Cricetulus griseus: one gene and its partner. The protein of the gene in region 1 interacts with the protein of each later gene in a biochemical or structural test. Links are inferred from orthologs where the notes say so. Each region holds a gene or a part of one and is shown on either strand. Other genes may lie near its edges.

What was found. The genes of interacting proteins can lie anywhere in the genome.
Region 2: the proteins of Efemp2 (region 1) and protein-lysine 6-oxidase form a complex in vitro, tested with the Homo sapiens proteins (2 studies listed by IntAct, with this or other methods). The link is inferred for Cricetulus griseus from reciprocal best matches to the Homo sapiens genes EFEMP2 and LOX.

Annotation. Positions count from the first base shown.
Region 1 is NC_048596.1:53,863,254-53,869,455, reverse strand, and holds the start of Efemp2 (EGF-containing fibulin-like extracellular matrix protein 2 precursor), read left to right. Parts: upstream 1-2,566; 5' UTR 2,567-2,856; coding exon 2,857-2,967; intron 2,968-3,203; coding exon 3,204-3,252; intron 3,253-3,869; coding exon 3,870-4,076; intron 4,077-5,441; coding exon 5,442-5,564; intron 5,565-5,805; coding exon 5,806-5,922; intron 5,923-6,050; coding exon 6,051-6,170; intron 6,171-6,202. UniProt on the Homo sapiens protein: Plays a crucial role in elastic fiber formation in tissue, and in the formation of ultrastructural connections between elastic laminae and smooth muscle cells in the aorta, therefore participates in terminal differentiation and maturation of smooth muscle cell (SMC) and in the mechanical properties and wall integrity maintenance of the aorta.
Region 2 is NC_048595.1:186,108,874-186,115,270, forward strand, and holds the start of protein-lysine 6-oxidase, read left to right. Parts: upstream 1-2,931; coding exon 2,932-3,544; intron 3,545-3,860; coding exon 3,861-3,969; intron 3,970-5,265; coding exon 5,266-5,403; intron 5,404-6,397. UniProt on the Homo sapiens protein: Responsible for the post-translational oxidative deamination of peptidyl lysine residues in precursors to fibrous collagen and elastin. Regulator of Ras expression. May play a role in tumor suppression. Plays a role in the aortic wall architecture.

The DNA.
Region 1 (6,202 bases):
CACAGGGGAGGTTCTAGGCCCTGCTCCAAATGATATGACAGACTTTGAAGATCCCCCCAAGGAAGGCCTCACCCTCTCTAAGGAGAAGAAAGGGGATGGGATGGGGTTTGGTGAGGGGCTGGAGGGAGGGGAGGGTGAGGGAACTGGAATTGATATGTAAATGAAGCTTATTTCTAATTTAAATTAAAAAAAGGAAAAGAAATAAAGAGACCAGGTTGGTCTCAAACTCACAGAGATCTGCTTGCCTCTCCTCTCCAAGTGCTGGATTTAAAGGCATGTGCCACCCTGCCAGGCTTTTTTTCTCTTATTTTTCTTTTTTCTTCTCTGTCTCCACTAGCGGGGCTTTGAGATTGGCCTGACTGGGCAATGGGGAATGAAGAAATAACAGACATGCATAGGGGGTTATGGTGGGCCGTGTGTTCTGAGGGAGACACACTAGCAGCCTGGAAACTCAACCAGTTTATTACTTGAGCTGAAGAAGGAGAGTTTGCTAATCTCTTTAGGGGGTCTCTTCGGGAAGCAGTTTCATGCTTCAGTCATCTGAAATTAAAAAATGCACACCCTGTTGGTGTTGCACTCACTCATGGAAGGCCTTCCCATTCGTCTGAGCCTGACCTGGAAAAGGTCCTGCCATACCCACAGGTCTGGGGGGTTGGGGTCCTTGACATGGCTATGTTAATATCAATAATACACATTCACTCAAGACTTCACTCACTCCCCATGCCTTTCTTGTCTCTCTGTGCTTTGTTCTACGTGGTGTGTGTGTGTGTGTGTGTGTGTGTGTGTGTGTACTGGGATTGAACCTTGGAGTCCTCGTCATCCTAAACAACATGGTACCACTGAGATACACCCCTACTCCTCTACTGCTTTAAAAACAAAACAAAACAAAAAACAGGGCTGTAGAAATGGCTGCAGTATTCCTCTTTCAGATGACCTGAATTTGGTTCTCAGCACCCACATCAGGCAGCTCAGAGCTGTCAGTAACTCCAGATCCAGGGAACACCTCTGGCCCCTGGGCACCTGCACTCAGGTATGTATACCAGTACATAGATGCACACATAATTAAACACATCATTAAAATATTTTTCTTTAGAAAAAAAACAAAGGCAATGGAAGCCGGGGAGGTAGCTCACTACAAAACATGAAGGCCTGAGTTCAGATTCTCAGCACCAGCACAAAAGCCAATTGTGGTGGTGATGCCTGTGTGAAACCCCAGTGCAGGAGGTCCTGGGAGGTGGAGACGGGCAGAAATAGTGAACTCTAGATTCAGTGACACAATATCCTACACTGGTACGTAGGCACACAGGGATATACTACATATAGACAAGTCCTTGAAATGAGGCAAATACATTTTTTAAATCATGGCAGAGCTGGGCATGGTGACACACGCGTTTCATCCCAGCACCTGGGAGGCAAGAGGCAGGTGGATCTACATAGTGAGTTCCAGGACAGCCAGAACTACTTGTGAGAACCTGTCTCGAAAAGATAAAACAAAGAAAGAAAGACTGGAAAGAGGTTGGGTAAGGGAAAGGAAGGTCAGGCTATTGCCGTAACCAGCAAGGGCCAGGCAAGGGAACCCTGGACACGCAGTCCTTTCCCGTCTAGTCCCGCCCTGAGACGTGGGCAACGCGAAGTCCCGCCCATTCGCCCCTTCCTGGGAGCCGGAGGCACACCGGCTCCTCCCTCAAGGCATGATCTTTGCTGGGGACCAAGACGGAAACTGGGTGGGGGACCTGAAGGGAAAGAGGGTCGGAAAAGGGCTGGCAGTGGGCCCTAGTGTCCTCTGCGCCCAAGTTCAAGTTTGCCAGTTTCTCGGGGGTTCCATTCATTTCGGGCCAAGACGACAGCTGCCCTCACCCCCACATTAGCGTAGCTTTGTGCAGGCAGGCTCCGGGGAAGCAGTGCCCTGAGTAGAGCGACCACCTGGAGGCCGCGGAGCTCATGGCCGGAGGGAGAGGGACAATTAACTTTATGTCCGGAAACCTTGGATGAATGTTTGAGACCATCTAACTGATGATGTGGGGAGCACAGGATAAAATTCTGCAAGTAGTAGGATTTGGAGGTTTGAGAAAATAAGTGGCGAGTAGGTTCTGAGAGGCGCAGATTCAGGGTCTGGGTGTTTAGCTACAGCTGAGGTGCGAGTGCACACTCAGGGATTCTAGAGGACCAGGTTGGATAGGGTCTAGGTGGCTAGGACAACATTTTGAATGAGGGCCCGGGGTCCCCAGGTGAATTTGGGGGCCAAACATCAAGGTCAGTGGCCCCGGGACCCAAGCGTTAGGGAACTCTGGCTGGGCGCCCGCAGGCGCCTCCAGGCGGCGCCGCGGGGGACCGGGTGGGGGCCTGTGGCCGGCCCGGGGTGGAGAAGCCGGGGGGTCGGGGTCCCTCCCCCTGGCGCGGGCTCAGGAATCCGCCGAAGGGCGGGCGGAGGCGCCGGGGTGGGCCGCGGCGGGCGGGCGGGCGGGCGGGCGGGCGGGCGGGGGCGCTTCCTGGGGCCGCGCGTCCAGCGAGCTGCGCGGTCCGGTCCGTCCGTCCGCCCGCAGGCACTGCCGGAGTCAACGAGTGAGTGGCCGCCAGCGGAGGGAGGGCGCGGGCCGTGTCGCGGCCGGGTCCGCGCTACGCCAAGCCGAGAGGCCTGCGCTCCACGACTCGCGGGGCGGGGGCGGGGCGGTCCGGGATTGCGGGCCTGCGAGCCCCAGGCCTGCGAAAGGACTCGGCCCCCAACTCTGGAAGGCTCCGGTGCTCCCAGCACAGTTCTGAGACAGCCGGGAATCCAGTGTCCCCTTCCTGATACAGGGAATGGGGGGTGTCGTGGCAGAGGCCCCTGACCCCTGCCCACTACCTCCCAGCCCCAGGATGCTCCCTTTTGCCTCCTGCCTTCCCGGGTCTTTACTGCTCTGGGCGCTCCTGCTGTTGCTCTTGGGAGCAGCGTCTCCACAGGATTCGGAAGAGCCGGACAGCTACACGGTGGGGACCAGCTTGGGATGGGATGGGATGGGATGGGATGGGATGGGATGGGATGGGATGGGAAGGACCAGGATCTTGGGGTGCCTGGGGAAGACTCTCCTCTGCTTGGTTGGTGGAAGACTGGGAGTCATTGTGTGAATTGACCCGAGCATAACTGAGCTCAGGCCCTGGCCTTGTTCTGGCTAGTTGGAGGAGACTTCCAGAGTGGTCACTGGCCACTTGGGGTCCCCTTCCAGGAATGTACAGATGGCTATGAGTGGGACGCAGACAGCCAGCACTGCCGGGGTGAGTATGCCTGGGATACTAGCCATTTTCAGGAACTGGGAAGGCAACTATTGTTTCCCAGGGATAACCTGGCTCCTAGACCAGCTGCAGGAACCTAATGGCCTTTTCACTGTCCAGCTTGGCTGAGCCAAAGCCAGCCACTCAATTAGGAGTCCTACCCCTTCAAGAAGTGCAATGAACTCTGCCTCTATTTGCAGTAGACAGGAGAGCACCTGGTGACTGCCCAGAGAAACGGAGATCTGCACACCTTCCGCCAACTGCCCTCTACTCTCCTAGCCCAGCTCTTTATCCCAGTGCAACCTGGGAGAGCAGTACACACTCTGTGGGTTTGGAGGCCTGCAAATTACTCTGGGGCAGAGGTAGAGGCAGGGTTTTGAGGAGGAATGGAAACTCACTTGGAGGCAGGAGAATAGGGACAACGGCGAAAATAGGTGGCCCTATCCCCAGTCCTGCAAATCACTGGGAGGGGTTCTGGGTCATCAGCCTTAATTTGCTGAGCAGAGAGAAAACCTTGCTCTGTTGCTCAGCTTAGAGAAGGCCAAGCTGGGATTCTGCCTCCCACTACCTCCAGGGCCAGCCCAGGTGACTGGCTGTGCCCAGCAGGCCCCTTTCTGCAGATGTCAACGAGTGCCTGACCATCCCCGAGGCCTGCAAGGGCGAAATGAAATGCATCAACCACTATGGGGGCTATTTGTGTCTGCCTCGATCTGCGGCTGTCATTAATGATCTACATGGCGAAGGCCCTCCACCACCAGTGCCCCCTGCTCAACACCCCAATCCTTGCCCACCAGGCTATGAACCTGATGAACAGGAGAGCTGTGTGGGTAAGTGGGAGCCATGCTGGCTGGCACCAATGCTTCCAGACCTCTTACATGTCTTTTTAAAATTAATTTTGTATTTAGTGTATAAAGTAAAAAGAAAAGTAAAAACCAAAAGAAAACAAAGGGGGGCGCTGGAGAGATGGCTTAGAGGTAAAGAGCACTGGCTGCTCTTCCAGAGGACCTGGGTTCAATTCCCAGCAACCACATGGTGGCTCACAACTGTCTGTAATTCTAATTCAGGGGACCTGGTACCCATGGCAAAACACCAATGCACATAAAATAAAAAAGTAAATTTAAAAATAAATAAAAGAAGCAAAGTGAAAGTTTTTAAAATCATGGTATCATTCTCCTGACACACTTCATATTTGTTCTCTCTCATTGTCCCTCCCTAGCACCTTGTTCTTCGAGATAGGATTTCTCTGTGTAGCCCTGGCTGTCCTGGAACTCACTCTGTAGTCCAGGTTGGCCTAGAACTTAGAGATCTGCCTGCCTCTGACTCCCTAGTGCTGAGTGCTGGGACTAAAGGTGTGTGCCACCACTGCAGGACTGTGTACTTTGTTTTTTGAGACAGAGTCTCTGGGTTTGATCCCCAGCACACACTTGTAATCCCACCACCAGGGAGGTAGAGAAAAGAAGATTGGAAGTTAAAGGTTACCTCAGTTGCATAAGGAGTTTGAGGCCACCCTGAGCTACATGAGAGCCTATCTCAAAAGCAGTAACTAACATAAATAAAGTAATTTTCCACACTAAATACCGCAGACCTCATGTTCCTTCCTTGCTGAGAGAAGCCTCTGGCTCCTCAGAGAAACATCTGAACCCTCACCTGCAGCAGGCCTGGTGCATGGTCTGCTGGCCCAGGAAGTCCCCAGCAGCTCCCTCACTTCCTGTGCAGACATGCTAGAGCTCTGCTCCCAGCCTCTTGCCAGCTCTTTATCAGGTCTCGGCCTTGGAAACCGCTGGCTTTGGAGGAGGGAAGATCCTGGTCTAGAGTCAGCTGAGGGTGTGAATGGACAACGCCTCATTTATTTTTAAGCCAGTTCTAGCTGGCTTGGAACTCTATAGCTCTGGCTGGCTTGGAACTCAGAGGGATCCTCCTGCTTCTGCCTCCTGGGTGTTAGAATTAAAAGTGTGTGCCACCAGACCTGACAAGGCCTTGTTTTATATGCTCAGCTAATGGGTGCTTTTCCTGGTGGACTGTTTTCTTGTGCTGTTGGGAGGACCTATATCCTATCTTCATATTTTGGTGCCAGCTACCCATGTGCCCATGTGAATGAAGTCTGGTGTGAGCCACCTCCTTCCAAGTTGATGTGCTGACATGGTCAGTAACATGTGGGACTCTGGGTAAGGGCTGCATGGTGTCTCCCACAGATGTGGACGAGTGCGCCCAGGCTTTGCATGACTGTCGCCCTAGCCAAGACTGTCATAACCTGCCTGGTTCCTACCAATGCACCTGCCCTGATGGTTACCGAAAAGTTGGGCCCGAATGCGTGGGTGAGTTCAGAGAGTGGCTTTCCTAGTTCTTGCTTTGTGACTTTGGTCTGACCTTATCCTTATCCTAGTCCTCTGCTGCTGGTACCCTCCTGTCATTAGACACAGAAGACTATATGTCGGTGGCTCAACTCAGGTCCCTGAAAAAGACAGGAGTAAGCATGCGTGCTGAGGCCTTTGTCTCGGCCTGCTCAGGCCCCACCTGACTTGTGTCCTGCTTACCCCTCCCCTGCCTCCATTGCAGACATAGACGAGTGTCGCTACCGATATTGCCAGCATCGATGTGTGAACCTGCCAGGCTCTTTTCGCTGCCAGTGTGAGCCAGGATTCCAGCTGGGTCCTAACAACCGTTCTTGTGTGGGTGAGACTCTGGGGTCCTAGGTAGAGATGTATGGGATAGGGGCAGGATCTCCTCACTAAGCCCATGTAGAGTGGGACTCTGGGCAGTGCCTCTGCTTTCACCACTCCTGTTTTCTCTGGCATCCTCAGATGTGAATGAGTGTGACATGGGAGCCCCATGTGAGCAACGCTGCTTCAACTCCTATGGGACCTTCTTGTGTCGTTGTAACCAAGGCTATGAACTGCACCGGGATGGCTTCTCCTGCAGTGGTGAGAGTCCACTTGTGCTGCTGGATAGTGCA
Region 2 (6,397 bases), on another chromosome or scaffold:
CTTCTGTAGACTCCATCTTATAAATATACAAAAAGTACCCAATATTTTAAAGTCAAACTCAAGGAATTAGTTTTTCAATGTAATGGCCATAATGTAACAAATGATTTGCAGCAAATTATTTGAAAATAGAATAAATGGATATTCAAGAAAATCACAGATTTTGAAACTTGGAAAATACTTTGAAGAGGATTTGGCTTAATTTCTGACAAAGAACTGATAACCAGACAAAATAAAACACATAGACAGAGAAGCATTTTCCCCTCCCCCTCCTTTTCCCATCCTCCCCCACTTCCAGTCCCCCTGTCCCCTCTTCCCCTCCCTTCCTTTTTCTCTTTCCTCCTTCTCCAAGTATCAAAACTGGAAACAAAGGCAAGTTATCTGAGATCCAGGACAAACTTTCTACCCTCCCATTGAGAGCCACTTTGTTCTTGTACTCTAACTTGACCTCCACAGCAAATGTTTTCCCTCAGAAACCTGTGGTTAAGTAATAACTGTGCCCAGCCTTTCACCTCAGAAGATAAGCTGTCCATGGGCAGATGCAGAGCCTTTTTCAAATGAAACATAATTTCACTCAGTCTCTTCCCATTTCTTCTTATAATTCTATCTGTCATCCAAATTATAGACACCTATTTTGGTTTTGCTTTTTTTTTTTTTTAACTCTATCTCCCTTACCAGGTCTAGAGAAATCAAGTAGTTAATTTTATGCTGCTTAGCCAGACAGTAAAATGACAACTTGCATTATCTTAGAGATGGCTTTGTTCAGAAAAGCATTCACTGTTGAGTTGCCATGAGGGAATTTGTACCTAAAGTTTATGTTCATCGTATAGGCAATAGATTTACCACATGTGGGCAAAATTCTGTGTCCTATCCCTTGGTGACCAAGGTATATGGTCGTTTACAGACTCCATCTAACTTGACTCAAAAACCAGACCCATGTGATTTAACTAGCGGAAAGAAACAGGCCCACCCCCCTCTATGTCAGTCAGGATTCTCCTGTGACAGATGAAAGAAACTATGACTATGTTAATCCACAAAAGAATGTACCAGAGAACCTGAAGGGAATGTTGAAGAGCCAGAGGATGTCACTTTTCTAGCAGTGGGAGGAGGAATATTTTTGGCCATGTGACCAACTTGACATTAAGATTCTAGGAAGATGGTTTAACTAGGACAAACTCAGATCTCATGACCAGTTCTTGAAGAAGTCTCATGAATGCCTTGTCAGTCCAAACTCACTACAGGGGTAAGGGGTAAGGGTGGGGTGGAGGTGGGGTGTGAGAGATCTGGGGCAGAGTTTCCCAAGGAACAGAAATAAAGGGGACATGGATATGAAGCAGTCAAACTAGAAGATGGCCACCAAACCACCTCGTGATCAGTTATGGAAAGACAGAGATGAAGAGGTGAGATTAAAGTGTGTCTAGACAACAGCTCAATGATGGGACCAATAAAAATGGATATTAAACTGTGGTTTTTGCCTTGTAGTTTAAATAGGGCCACTTAGTGGCAATTTCTCTTTGAATTTGGTTCAGAGCTTCCCAGACCCTGAGTGGGATGTGAATAGCTGGTCTATTAAGCATCTCTCTCCAGTTGCCCACTACCCTCCTACTCATTCTCCTGGCCACACCTACTGCCTTCTTTGCACTCAACTCTGACCTCAAAGGCTCTTTCTCTTGTAATGCCTTTGCTTAGATTGGAAGAGGAATTAAAAGCTGCTGAATACTTTACTGGGTTTCAATATTTAATATTGGTAATTTGAGTTGGACGAGTGAAGTCAAACCTTATTAGACACATGAGAGAAAGAGTAAGAAATCAAATAAAAAGGTCACTTGAAGACGACTTTGAGCACTCTTTTGACCTTCCTCTAGTTCTCCCATACAGTACAAATGAGGCCGGTTATGAGACAGAAAGGCACACACACACACACACACACACACACATACACACACACACACACACACACACACAGAGAGAGAGAGAGAGAGAGAGAGAGGGGGGGGTTATTCACTGCTTCAACGTAGCAAACTTTGTTCCCTGTAAATTTTCACTTTGGTTATTAAAATACTCACTGTAGGAAACAGATTTGTAACCCATTTCTCATATTACCTACAGCCAGAAAAACAAAATTTGATATCCTGGGGTTTATTTGCTGAGGGCGCTTCCCATAAAAGCGGGGTGAGTGTGCATTGGGAAATTCGTCTGGTTAACTTCTCTATGGATAAGCGTTAGTCACAACCTCCCCCATCTCAACAGGCACACTTTGGCCCCATCGCTCTCCCCACCTCTTGACTTCCCGCCTCTCCGGGGCTGGTGACCTAATAGCATTTTTCTTCATGCATATTTTGGCTTGAGCCCATGGCCTGGCTGCCTTCGCCTGTCTGAGTCTTTTGAAATTCCTGCATGTTCGGCCCAGATTAAGTCGAGTGTGTCTCAGGATGTGTGTTCCGTTTTGTTCTTTCCCCTTAACTCTCCCTGTGCAACGTGTCTGGGGAGGAGGGGAGTGGGGCGGAGAGGGGAGGAGGGGCAGAGTGGAGGAGCTGTCCGCCTCGCACGTTTCCAATCGCATTACGTGAACAAATAGCGGAGGGGCAGCGGGGCCAGAACGGCTTGTGTAACTGCAAACTTGTCAGAAAGTTTAAAATCTCCCCCCTTCTTTTACTCCAGACACTGTGCGCTCTCTGGGACCGTCGTGCGCCGCTCCCCGTCGCCTTTCAGGACTGGGAAAGCGGAGAGAAGGACCGTGCCACGTCCGACGGCCGCCTGGGCTGGGGGCAGGGTCTGCTGTCCGTCCTTGGCACAACGCACTGCGACCCATCCCCGCGCCTCACCCTCCTCCCGGCCCTGCCTCAAGAGGTCTCCTTCCTTCGCGGGATCAGAGTTCTGTCTGCATTTTCTCCTAGCCAGGTCCTCCCCGAGAAGGGACTATCCAGAAGAGCCATGCGTTTCGCCTGGACCATGCTTCTGTTGGGGCCGCTGCAGCTCTGTCCCCTTCTACGCTGCGCCCCACAGGCCCCGCGCGAGCCACCCGCCGCCCCGGGCGCCTGGCGCCAGACAATCCAATGGGAGAACAATGGGCAGGTGTTCAGTCTGCTGAGCCTGGGGGCACAGTATCAGCCCCAGAGACGCCGCGACCCCAGCGCCACTGCCCCAGGACCCGACGGCAATGCCGCCCCGCAGCCGCGCACGCCCATTCTGCTGCTGCGTGACAACCGCACGGCCACTGCCCGCGCGCGGACACCAAGCCCGTCTGGGGTCGCCCCCGGCCGTCCCCGGCCCGCTGCCCGCCACTGGTTCCAAGCTGGCTTCTCGCCGTCGGGGGCTCGCGATGGAGCTTCACGGCGCGCGGGGAACCGGACTGAGTCGCCTCAGCCCCCGCAACTCAGTAACCTGAGGCCTCCCAGTCACGTAGACCGCATGGTGGGCGACGACCCCTACAATCCCTACAAATACTCCGACGACAATCCCTATTATAACTACTATGACACATATGAGAGGCCCCGGCCTGGGAGCAGGTACCGACCCGGATACGGCACCGGTTACTTCCAGTATGGTAAGCACCACGCAGTTCCACCGGATGCACCTGGGCTCCCTTACTGCAGGTCGATGATGTCTAGACGTGGCGGTCTGAGAGCAGCGGGCTCGATCCCCGCAGACCCGACCCCCCTGCTTCCCCATCGCCTGCCCTGCCAGCTCTGGAATCCGATGGAAACCGCTCCCCTGGCTCCGGGGCTTCCTCTTCCCGTTCCCTGCTAGCGTTGGAGGTCCCTGCTCTTCCACACACTCAGCCCCACCCTGCGGACTTGATGGGCAAAGGGTGACAAAGAGAGGCCCTGGAGTCAGAGGTCACCTCCTTGTCTTATTTTTAGGTCTTCCGGACCTGGTGCCGGACCCCTACTACATCCAGGCATCTACATATGTGCAGAAGATGTCTATGTACAACTTGAGATGCGCTGCGGAAGAGAACTGCCTGGCCAGGTATGGATTTCCACAGCCCGGCTCCCCATTTTGATCCCGGGATCACCCTGACGCCTAGTTCTGACTGCTATGTTAGTGCAGACAAGGGCTAGGAAGTGGGGCAAGGGCTGGGAAAGTGGGACGTGACCTCCTGGGCATGCTGACTTGGACAGAAAGTTAAATTGGAATGTTTTTATGGGTGCCGCCTCATTAAGAGGCTCGTATCGGGGGAGGGGGCAAAAATTCGTATTCTGGAGACTGGGTCTCAGGTTCTTTCCCAAGGCTCCTATTAGAAATTGGCGCCAACTATTTCCAACAGCTTTCTATAAAAGAGGAACTCAACAATCAACAACCCCGGAAAAATAGAAAGGAAGCGCTCGTTATTATTCTCCAATGGTCTAGGGGTGTCTTCGCCATGGTGGCGCCCCCCATTGGTAAAGACCGCATTCCACATTTCTTTCAGACCATGATTAACTGGGTTGTTTTGGTATAAGACCATGAGCAAGAATTATATTTTCCGTCAGTCCCAAAATAAAACAGCTATTCTGGACTTGGAATTCTCCGATTTTGCGGCTGGCAACCAGCAGAGGGAGCATAGGATGCTTGCATAGTTCTAGTGGTACTTTAAGTAAAATGGGTCACCAACAGTATTCCAAGCCAGACAGACAAAAATATAGTACCATCCCAGAAGTGTTTATATAAACATTTTTTCCACGTTGACTTTTGTACAACCGTGTGGCTACAGGAAGAAATTCAAGCTCATTTTCATTCCCGAGTCTTGCATGATCCACACCACTGAACCCACGGAAGATATTAAAGAAGGGTTCCCTGTCTTATAATGAAGCATAAAGCTGTTTATCTATCTATCTATCTATCTATCTATCTATCTATCTATCTATCTATCTACCTATCTATCTAAAGCTAGCTGCCTTACTTTGGAGTGTTTCTCCACTTTGTATCTTAGGTCTATCAACTTATTAATAGATATCTATGGATTTTTTGGCACATGATCATTACTATAGCAATTTCATAGTTTTTAGATGTAGTATCTTGTCAATAATTTTTTTCAGTGGAAATCCTAATTTCTGGCTCTGTAGGTTTTTTACTGTTGTTCTTCATCCACTCATTCACCACATAGTCACTATGTTTTTATCCTTCCAGGATGGGACAGGAGCTCAAGATTGTCTCTTTGAGCCATGAGGCTAGTTGGGGAAAGGGGGACAGTGTGCCACTACCATGTAATGGTGAGCTGTTTGTTCTAGTTTTGTTTTTTCATCGGTATTCACTGGATCTAATGTTTCTTTTCTAAACTCCCAGTTCAGCATATAGGGCGGATGTCAGAGACTATGATCACAGGGTACTGCTACGATTTCCCCAAAGAGTGAAAAACCAAGGCACATCTGACTTTTTACCAAGCCGTCCTCGATATTCCTGGGAGTGGCACAGCTGTCACCAGTAAGTGGATGGGCCTCTCCGTACTTCTGGGATTCTCTTACATTTTTCAGACGATTATTCACATGCCTTACCTAAAGCTAGAGATTTGGTATTGTTTATACTTAGAACTTCTACTATTCGGTTTGATATCATCAACGGATGTTAAACCTTAAAGACAGCCCCTTCACCACTAAATCCCATTATCTTTGTACCTGGAAAGTTAAGCCAGGCTCTTTAAAACTGTTGAAAGGACACAACAGTGGCTGTCAGTACAATCTACTATTATGTAGAAATAGCTGCTATAGATAAGATCATCTACAAGCTCATCCAAAGCTGGTTAGCCTTAACAAGCATTTAATAAATGCACAGCATCTTTTACCTATAGGATTCAGAGACCATTCTCAATGGAACACACACGAGATAGATTTCAAGAACCCATCCACTTCCACCTTTTGAAAGGCCCATATCAGCTAGAGTGGTTGCCCTACCCTTTCTAAATTTAAAGGTTTTCATTTTTAAATTGCACGTGGTTATACCATCATTTGCCTAGGTAATGTGCCCAACTGTTCAGTGCCAGGAAACCCTGAAGTGTGGTCTCCTACTTACAGAAATTCAAACCCTTCCTCCTTGTAGCCTCTCCCCCTTGTGAGATGAGAAAGAGCTCAGAAGCCTTCTAGTTAATGAATAGAGAAAATTTAATATGCACAATTTGCATATTAAAATAAAAATACCTTATTTTGAAATGAAAGTTTGTGCTGTTTAAATAATAGTAGTAGAAAAACCCAGTTATTTTCCTCTTGCATTTCCAAAGAGATTTTACAACGTTGTCACTCTAGTCTTTAGACTTTCATAGCAAGCCCTCCAGAGTAAAACTCTTGTCTGAAATCATCATCATAACACCAACATCAGCAGTGTGAGCCAAAGAAATAAACATGAGACTCCACAGGTTACAAGCATAGATAATGAAGTTTATCTTAATTTAATGTTCAAAGACAAAACCCTGTATAAAGGAACA